2 linked regions of the Saccharomyces cerevisiae S288C genome follow. The gene in region 1 interacts genetically with each later gene. Each region holds a gene or a part of one and is shown in the gene's direction. Other genes may lie near its edges.

Region 1 (5,614 bases):
CATGGGCATACTTCAATGCCCAAACCTCACCATCATGACCTGATAGTTGTAAAAGAAATCTTTTATTTACTAAGTTATAAACTCTGATCGTTTTATCACATCCTCCTGTAATGACATAATTATCTTCAACTTGCAAGCACGCAATAACACTCGTCATATGGCCACTTAACGTGGTCCTTTGAGGTGTATAATCAGGATCAAACAAATTTACCAAAACAGACATTTCAGACACAACTTCCAGTACTTTATTAAAGCTTCGCAGATAGACGTTCTGATATAATTCCAAGGTAATAGAAAGCGATTGCTGTTTAAGTTGAACATGGTTTGCATTGATTTATTTAAACTTCGGGTAAATTGCTGGCTGCAACTTTCATTTAGACGAAAATGCAAAATCAATTGCCCCTTGTTGATAGCTTTAAGTGGAAGCCGTTGACTAGGTTTTAACGGGAGTGTGACTCCAAATGAAAAAATTATTGAAAGCTAAGATTATTTTGCACTATGACATTCTCGATAATCCCTTGGAAAGATTTAAGTGATTAGTCCGAGTACCGATATGGTTGAGAATCAAAGGTTTCTTTTCACAACGGTGACCCCACCATTTGAAAAAAAAAAAAAAATGAAAACGATGGCAACGCCCTTATCTGGCGTGGTTATTACCATAGAAAAGTTTATTCAATGTTTTTGTTATTCTCACTGACACAGACAGCATTTTGGAATATTGCATTCCTAACATATTGCTACATTAGCAATTGAAAGGGCAGTCGGAACTATCACGTAGTTTGAAAATGTCTTCCCGCTTAGCTCATTATGCATAAGCTTGTGCACGGCGTCATGGTCCATTTACTGTACATGGTAAGAAAGTTTTATTCCACCTACACTGATGTTGGCTGGTATGTTGATGGTTTTTGATAATTCACGTGTAATTAAGAACATCGAAACACTATCTGATGTATTTTTTATTGTTGAAATTTCTGACTCGTTTACAACCTACAAGCCCATACTGAGCTAAGTTTGCCATGTGCCCATCTATCTGTATTCGTGTCGAATCGGAAAATTATTATGGTACTTTTGTGTTGGAGATGGACAATAGAACGGTATGATGAGGCTTTGGTATTTTCATTTTAACAAGTGAATTTGAGAATTGGGTGATTTGTGATTATATTTGGGTGCACTGTTGGAAAAGGCTATAATATTACGCATACAGGATATACTGGTAGCATGAATACTACCCCAAATGGATGATATTTTAGGGTTTCATTGTAACAGATATCGGTGGATGTGTTCTTATTTTTATATGTCTCTGATAGTGGTTCTTTTTTGGGAAATTCATAATGATAGGCACTATGGCCGAGTGGTTAAGGCGACAGACTTGAAATCTGTTGGGCTCTGCCCGCGCTGGTTCAAATCCTGCTGGTGTCGTTTTTTTTATTGTTAGAGGTGCCTTGAAAATGCTACATTCATGAAAAGTAGTTGAACTGCTTGGAGACCATATTTACTGGAATATCTTCATATGGTCGAAGGCCGTTTGATGCTTCCAAACTGAATGTTGGGCTGGAATAAATTTTGTAATAGTAGTGCTTCAAATGAATTATTTTTTTTTCATTTTCAATACGCAAATGTAAATGACGCGTACGCTGGGACTGATAAGGTTTGTATTTAGATTCTTCCTGGCCTAAACATTATGTTAACTAGGTTTGTTTTTAGCGCAATTTCATTAGTTCTCAAGGAGCACTACAGATTCTTATTCACTATGGTTTAAGTTATTTCTAGAAAATATAGTGTGATCATCGTCATATATTTTTCGGAATAAAAATTCACACTCACTTATCGACTATTAATCATATTACTAGTATATTACCATATACTCTGTAAGAGGATGACATAAAGAAAGATAACAAAATTAAGAGACAGCCATCAAAATTTAATGGAAGCTGAAATGCATGATTTTGGAAATGTAAAGGATAATGAGTGAGCATATAAAATGGAAGAAAAAATAATAATAGGATTATGTATAAAATATCGATTCCCTTTTGTAGATTTCGAGATCTTCGAGGAGAACTTCTAGCACGTTGTTTACATATCTAATGTTGTAACACGGCCTTTGTTATCTTGTGAATATATCCATCACCTACGTCGCTTGAGGTTTCGTATCAAAGAAAGAGAGTTCAAACATAATCATACGTGTTTCACTCCAAATTTGATCACAAATGGCCACCCATTATAGCTTGTTATTATTTACTTCTTCTTGAGTTCATTTTATTGAAAGATGCCCGCTGGGAACAAAACATAAATAAAATTCAAGAGTACAATATAGCGTAGCATAGTTGCGAGCAAGGGAAGGCAACACAGTTAAAATGACAATGTTAGAAGGAAAAACTAAATCAAGCTCCCATAGGAAATTTCTTGTGTCAGTAATATGTCTCGAGAAAATAATAATAATTGAATCTATTTATTGAAAAGTAAATATCTCGTAACCCGGATGCTTTGGGCGGTCGGGTTTTGCTACTCGTCATCCGATGAGAAAAACTGTTCCCTTTTGCCCCAGGTTTCCATTCATCCGAGCGATCACTTATCTGACTTCGTCACTTTTTCATTTCATCCGAAACAATCAAAACTGAAGCCAATCACCACAAAATTAACACTCAACGTCATCTTTCACTACCCTTTACAGAAGAAAATATCCATAGTCCGGACTAGCATCCCAGTATGTGACTCAATATTGGTGCAAAAGAGAAAAGCATAAGTCAGTCCAAAGTCCGCCCTTAACCAGGCACATCGGAATTCACAAAACGTTTCTTTATTATATAAAGGAGCTGCTTCACTGGCAAAATTCTTATTATTTGTCTTGGCTTGCTAATTTCATCTTATCCTTTTTTTCTTTTCACACCCAAATACCTAACAATTGAGAGAAAACTCTTAGCATAACATAACAAAAAGTCAACGAAAAATGCCTATCCCCGTTGGAAATACGAAGAACGATTTTGCAGCTTTACAAGCAAAACTAGATGCAGATGCTGCCGAAATTGAGAAATGGTGGTCTGACTCACGTTGGAGTAAGACTAAGAGAAATTATTCAGCCAGAGATATTGCTGTTAGACGCGGGACATTCCCACCAATCGAATACCCATCTTCGGTCATGGCCAGAAAATTATTCAAGGTATTAGAGAAGCATCACAATGAGGGTACAGTCTCTAAAACTTTCGGTGCCCTAGATCCTGTCCAGATTTCTCAAATGGCAAAATACTTAGACACAATCTATATTTCTGGTTGGCAGTGTTCATCAACTGCTTCCACCTCAAATGAACCTGGTCCAGACTTAGCTGATTATCCAATGGACACCGTTCCAAACAAAGTGGAACATTTGTTCAAGGCCCAATTGTTTCACGACAGAAAACAACTAGAGGCACGGTCAAAGGCTAAATCTCAGGAAGAACTCGATGAGATGGGTGCCCCAATTGACTACCTAACACCAATTGTCGCTGATGCAGACGCAGGCCACGGCGGTTTAACCGCAGTCTTCAAATTGACCAAGATGTTCATTGAGCGTGGTGCTGCTGGGATCCACATGGAAGACCAGACATCTACAAATAAGAAATGTGGGCATATGGCAGGAAGATGTGTTATACCCGTTCAGGAACATGTTAACAGATTGGTGACTATTAGAATGTGTGCTGATATCATGCATTCTGACTTAATTGTCGTTGCTAGGACTGATTCAGAAGCAGCCACTTTGATTAGCTCAACCATCGATACCAGAGATCATTATTTCATTGTCGGTGCCACCAATCCAAATATCGAGCCATTTGCCGAAGTTTTAAATGATGCCATCATGAGTGGTGCATCAGGACAAGAACTAGCTGACATTGAACAAAAATGGTGTAGAGACGCTGGACTCAAGTTATTCCATGAAGCCGTCATTGATGAAATTGAAAGATCAGCCCTGTCAAATAAGCAAGAATTGATTAAGAAATTCACCTCTAAAGTGGGTCCATTGACTGAAACATCCCACAGAGAAGCCAAGAAGCTCGCTAAAGAAATTCTTGGCCACGAAATTTTCTTCGACTGGGAGCTACCACGCGTAAGGGAAGGGTTGTACCGTTACAGAGGTGGGACGCAATGTTCTATCATGAGGGCCCGTGCATTTGCTCCATATGCTGATTTGGTATGGATGGAATCTAACTACCCAGACTTCCAACAGGCCAAGGAGTTTGCAGAAGGTGTTAAAGAGAAATTCCCTGACCAATGGCTAGCTTACAACTTGTCTCCATCCTTTAACTGGCCAAAAGCCATGTCCGTTGATGAACAACACACCTTCATCCAAAGGCTGGGTGATCTAGGTTACATCTGGCAATTTATCACATTGGCCGGTTTACACACTAACGCTTTAGCTGTCCATAACTTCTCTCGTGACTTTGCCAAGGATGGGATGAAAGCTTATGCCCAGAATGTTCAGCAGAGGGAAATGGACGATGGTGTTGATGTGTTGAAACATCAAAAATGGTCTGGTGCGGAGTACATCGATGGGTTATTGAAGTTAGCTCAAGGTGGTGTTAGCGCAACAGCTGCTATGGGAACCGGTGTCACAGAAGATCAATTCAAAGAAAATGGCGTAAAGAAATAGGACAAGGATTAACCATTAGAACTGCCGGCATTTCCTGACAAGTATATATATTCGTAATCTCAATGTATATTTTTTTCATATATAAACATGCGTACTTAAAAACTTAAACTCATCGTTACTGCAGTACAATGTTCTCTAATGGCATCTCTCTAATGGTACTCCAACTAAAGTCAACATTCTCTCCGTGCAAGAATGCCTTTCTCTAGTTGCAAAAACGAGTCAATAAACATCTTTGATCGAGTCGCCTCATTTTTGTTGACTCGGTGACTAAAATCAGTGCCATTTCTGTCCATGCCTCGTGCGCGAATGATTGAATCGAACTAATCCCGAACACAATCATAGTATCGTATCGCCCATTAGTGCCGTGAGTGTACGCGAGGCAAAAGGCACCATGGAAAATATTCCCTTAGTCATCTTGGAAATCATTGAGACTGTAAAGGAACTCGCAAACGGGTAACCGATATTTACCCCACCTTTGGTCGAGAAATTCCACCTGTTCGGCAATTTTTGCCGCTCTTCTCAAGAGCAAAAGGCGTTTTTTTTTCTGACACGCCTCTTCTCTCGCATGCCAAACTCAAGCGTCCTACATGCTTTTCTCATGAAAGCCAAGTGCGGGATGAAAAACATAAAATGTGACAAATAGTGCCACCTCATAATGTAATCGAGAGGCAAAATTAATCACTTTGTTCTCCCTTTTCTTTTTTCTGGGCGCTCAAAGTGAGATGCTTTCTGTAGAAAATAACATGGCCGTTAGAAGGTACTCGTCATCTTTTAGCTGCCGCATACATGTACACACACACACACACACACACGCACGCACATATATATATATATATATATATATATATATATATATTAAACATGATGGCAAAAAACCGAACTAAGTGCTCCTGTTCTATTTTTATATTCTTGCTTTTCATATTTCTCTAGCTGTATATTACCTTTAGCATATTCAAACATCTTAACCGGAAAATATCTCAGCAAAAAAAACAG
Region 2 (5,338 bases), on another chromosome or scaffold:
GTTTGATTTTACCTGCAGATAAGGAATTATCAAGGCTTACTTATTATGGTCCAGAGAAACCTAACACGATTTCTGGATTTATATCTTTACATTCTTGGAGGTCAAAATATCTTTTCGATACCGCTATTACATCATCACCAGAGGATATCAAAAGGCAAATAGGTATTTCCACTCAAAACATAAGAAAAAATTTGACCTTAGGAAATAAGATTATAACTAAAGACGTAACTGATTTTCTTGATATGGCTACCGCGTTGTTAATTCTTGGCAATGGTGCACCAGCGTCATTGATATATGATATTGTGCACATCCCGTTCGAAGTCTTCACCTCTGCATCTTTAAAGATTGCTACAAACGTATGGTTAACAATCATAACTGAGAAGCCCGAAGTTGCACATTTGCTTTTAGTTGAAGTATGCTATTGCTGGATGCGCTCCATTGATGACAATATTGGTCTCTATTCTCGCGATCATGACTTAAAGGGCGAAGAATACCAAAAAATGGAATATTCCCCTTACGACAAAGCAGGTATCAACAGAGATGCAAAAAATGCATCCCAAGCTATGCAACCACATCTTCATGTTATTAAATTTTTTGCTTCCCATTTCGAGGGCACACTATTTCAAAGTGACTTTTTATTGAAAATTTTCACGAAATGTGCGCTTTATGGTATCAAGAATCTGTATAAGGCTTCACTACACCCGTTCGCTAGAATGATTCGCCACGAATTATTGTTATTCGCGACTCTCGTACTAAACGCAAGTTATAAGCAGGGATCCAAGTATATGGGCCGTTTGTCGCAAGAAATCACAAACGGTGCCCTAAGTTGGTTTAAAAGACCAGTAGCGTGGCCATTCGGCTCAAATGAGCTGAAAATCAAAGCAGATTTATCTGTTACTAGGGACCTTTTCCTTCAGCTCAACAAATTAAGCTCGCTAATGTCACGTCATTGCGGGAAAGATTACAAGATCCTGAACTATTTCTTGGCAAGCGAAATCCAGCAGATTCAAACCTGGCTTACTCCGACTGAGAAGATTGAAGGAGCCGACAGCAACGAGCTTACAAGCGATATCGTTGAAGCTACCTTTGCTAAAGATCCAACATTAGCAATAAATCTCTTACAACGATGTTATAGCAAGAAAGCTGAGGATGTTTTAGTGGGCTTAGTTGCAAAACATGCTTTAATGTGTGTGGGGTCCCCAAGTGCTCTTGACCTGTTCATAAAAGGAAGCCACCTGAGCAGTAAGAAAGACCTACACGCAACCTTATACTGGGCGCCAGTGAGCCCGTTAAAATCTATCAACCTTTTCCTTCCCGAATGGCAAGGTAATTCTTTTATCTTACAATTCAGCATATATTCGTTGGAATCACAAGATGTGAACTTGGCATTCTTCTATGTTCCTCAAATCGTACAATGTTTGAGATACGATAAAACCGGATATGTCGAAAGATTGATTTTGGATACTGCGAAAATTAGTGTGTTATTTTCTCATCAAATAATCTGGAATATGCTTGCAAACTGCTACAAGGATGATGAAGGTATACAAGAAGATGAAATCAAACCAACTCTAGATCGTATTAGGGAGCGTATGGTTTCAAGTTTCAGCCAATCTCATCGCGATTTTTACGAACGTGAATTTGAATTCTTCGACGAAGTAACTGGCATATCTGGTAAGTTGAAACCATACATAAAAAAAAGTAAGGCTGAAAAGAAACATAAGATCGATGAAGAAATGAGCAAAATTGAGGTGAAACCTGATGTTTATTTACCTTCTAATCCTGACGGTGTAGTTATTGATATTGATCGGAAGAGTGGTAAGCCACTTCAATCTCACGCAAAGGCGCCTTTTATGGCGACCTTTAAAATAAAGAAAGACGTAAAAGATCCTTTGACAGGTAAAAACAAGGAAGTTGAAAAATGGCAAGCTGCTATCTTCAAAGTCGGTGATGACTGTAGGCAAGATGTTCTAGCGTTACAATTGATCTCGCTATTTAGAACCATTTGGTCTAGTATTGGCTTGGATGTCTACGTTTTTCCCTACAGAGTTACTGCGACGGCACCGGGTTGTGGTGTCATCGATGTGCTACCCAATTCGGTATCCCGTGATATGTTAGGACGTGAAGCTGTTAATGGATTATATGAATATTTCACTAGTAAATTTGGTAATGAATCTACTATCGAATTTCAAAACGCACGAAACAACTTTGTTAAATCCTTAGCGGGATATAGCGTAATTTCGTATTTGTTGCAATTCAAGGATAGACATAATGGTAACATTATGTACGATGATCAAGGACATTGTCTACATATCGATTTTGGGTTTATTTTTGATATTGTCCCAGGTGGTATCAAGTTTGAAGCAGTACCATTCAAGCTGACGAAAGAAATGGTTAAAGTGATGGGAGGTTCGCCCCAGACCCCAGCGTATCTGGACTTTGAAGAACTTTGTATCAAGGCATATCTAGCCGCCCGTCCGCACGTGGAGGCCATAATTGAGTGTGTAAATCCTATGTTAGGAAGCGGTCTCCCCTGCTTTAAGGGTCACAAGACAATTAGGAATCTAAGAGCAAGATTTCAACCTCAAAAAACCGATCACGAAGCTGCACTATATATGAAGGCGCTAATCCGTAAAAGTTATGAAAGTATATTCACTAAAGGTTATGATGAATTCCAAAGGCTCACAAATGGCATTCCGTACTGATATACTTCGCACTTTACATATGCTTATATAAAAATACCAGTTTCCCATCGTCAATTACGCAGACGTAGCCTTCGTTTATTTTCTCTCTTTTTGTATATCATTGTATTAATCATAATCCATTGTATTTTACTTTGTCTTATCTGGCTTTAATGAATGACGCCGGTCACACGCGGGTGCCTGATTCTCGATTGTGCCAAGCCATTTGGGCACGGTGTCAAATTACCTAAAAAATGGCCGAGAGCCGCAAAAGGGAGGTCCGCGGGGCCGGGCAATACCCTTTGTTTTTCGAGCATTTCGGCGCCGAAATCGGCAAAGGTCCTGACCAATCAATAGAGAAATTAGTGCATACGAGAAAAATTTGAACCCTTCAGTTGTTCTCCGCAGGCGACTTTAACCATCAAACCTCCAATCGCTGCCGGTTTTCGGAAAGGCAAGCACAAAAAGGGAGGACAAGGAAAATCTTTTGTTATATATATAATCTTCCGGTTTTAGAGGTTAATTAGGAGGAGTATGTTGCTTAATTCCGTTGTCCCTTGTTCTGTTCACTCTTTCTTAGTTATTACATAGTAGAACGAAGGTAATAAATACTACCATTATTACTATAGATATACAATGCTGTCTGCACGTTCTGCCATCAAGAGACCCATTGTTCGTGGTCTTGCGACAGTCTCCAACTTGACTAGAGATTCAAAAGTCAACCAAAACTTATTAGAAGATCATTCTTTTATTAACTACAAGCAGAATGTGGAAACGCTGGATATCGTAAGAAAAAGATTAAACAGGCCATTTACCTACGCGGAAAAGATTTTGTACGGTCACTTGGATGACCCTCATGGTCAAGATATTCAGAGAGGTGTTTCATACCTAAAATTAAGACCAGATCGTGTTGCCTGTCAAGATGCTACTGCTCAAATGGCTATTTTACAATTTATGTCCGCTGGTTTACCACAGGTTGCTAAGCCAGTCACTGTCCACTGTGACCATTTGATTCAAGCACAAGTTGGTGGTGAAAAAGATTTGAAGAGAGCTATAGATCTAAACAAGGAAGTTTATGATTTCTTGGCCTCTGCCACTGCGAAATATAACATGGGTTTCTGGAAGCCAGGTTCCGGTATCATTCACCAAATTGTTCTGGAAAACTACGCTTTCCCAGGTGCTTTGATCATTGGTACTGACTCCCATACACCAAATGCTGGTGGTTTAGGTCAATTGGCTATTGGTGTTGGTGGTGCTGATGCCGTTGATGTTATGGCAGGTCGTCCATGGGAATTGAAGGCTCCAAAGATCTTAGGTGTTAAGTTGACTGGTAAGATGAACGGTTGGACTTCTCCAAAGGATATTATTTTGAAATTGGCTGGTATCACAACTGTCAAAGGTGGTACTGGTAAAATTGTTGAATATTTCGGTGATGGTGTTGACACCTTCTCCGCTACTGGTATGGGTACCATTTGTAATATGGGTGCTGAAATCGGTGCTACCACATCTGTTTTCCCATTCAACAAATCTATGATTGAATATTTGGAAGCAACTGGTCGTGGTAAGATCGCTGACTTTGCTAAATTATACCACAAGGACCTATTATCTGCTGATAAGGATGCTGAATACGATGAGGTCGTCGAAATTGACTTGAACACTCTGGAACCATACATCAATGGGCCATTTACCCCCGATTTGGCTACTCCAGTTTCTAAGATGAAGGAAGTTGCTGTTGCTAATAACTGGCCATTGGATGTCAGAGTCGGTTTGATCGGTTCTTGTACCAATTCCTCTTATGAAGATATGTCTCGTTCAGCATCCATTGTCAAGGATGCTGCTGCTCATGGTTTGAAATCCAAGACCATTTTCACTGTTACTCCAGGTTCTGAACAAATCAGAGCCACTATTGAACGTGATGGCCAATTAGAAACCTTCAAAGAATTTGGTGGTATCGTTTTGGCAAACGCCTGTGGCCCATGTATTGGTCAATGGGATCGTAGAGATATCAAGAAAGGTGACAAGAATACTATCGTTTCCTCTTACAACAGAAATTTCACTTCTAGAAATGATGGTAACCCACAAACTCATGCTTTTGTTGCATCTCCAGAATTAGTAACTGCGTTCGCCATTGCGGGTGATTTGAGATTCAACCCTCTAACAGACAAATTAAAGGACAAGGATGGTAATGAGTTCATGTTGAAACCACCACATGGTGATGGTTTGCCTCAAAGAGGTTATGATGCTGGTGAGAACACTTACCAAGCTCCACCTGCAGACCGTAGCACCGTTGAAGTTAAAGTTTCTCCAACTTCAGACCGTCTACAACTGTTGAAACCATTCAAACCTTGGGATGGTAAGGATGCTAAAGACATGCCAATCTTGATTAAGGCCGTCGGTAAGACAACTACTGATCATATTTCTATGGCTGGTCCATGGTTGAAATACAGAGGTCATTTAGAAAACATTTCTAATAACTATATGATTGGTGCTATTAATGCTGAAAACAAGAAGGCTAACTGTGTTAAAAATGTATATACTGGTGAATACAAAGGTGTTCCAGACACTGCTAGAGATTACAGAGACCAAGGTATCAAGTGGGTTGTTATTGGTGATGAAAACTTTGGTGAAGGTTCCTCTCGTGAACACGCTGCTTTGGAACC

The links. A genetic interaction does not mean that the proteins touch.
Region 2: of ICL1 (region 1) and ACO1, changing one enhances a phenotype caused by changing the other (phenotypic enhancement), as found in Saccharomyces cerevisiae (one study listed by BioGRID).

Annotation. Positions count from the first base shown.
Region 1 is NC_001137.3:284,248-289,861, reverse strand, and holds ICL1 (isocitrate lyase 1), read left to right. Parts: upstream 1-2,947; coding exon 2,948-4,621; downstream 4,622-5,614. UniProt on the Saccharomyces cerevisiae protein: Catalyzes the formation of succinate and glyoxylate from isocitrate, a key step of the glyoxylate cycle, which operates as an anaplerotic route for replenishing the tricarboxylic acid cycle.
Region 2 is NC_001144.5:735,525-740,862, reverse strand, and holds the start of ACO1 (aconitate hydratase ACO1), read left to right. Parts: upstream 1-3,314; coding exon 3,315-5,338. Other genes in the region: 1-phosphatidylinositol 4-kinase STT4, read left to right, coding at 1-2,702. UniProt on the Saccharomyces cerevisiae protein: Catalyzes the isomerization of citrate to isocitrate via cis-aconitate, a step in the citric acid cycle.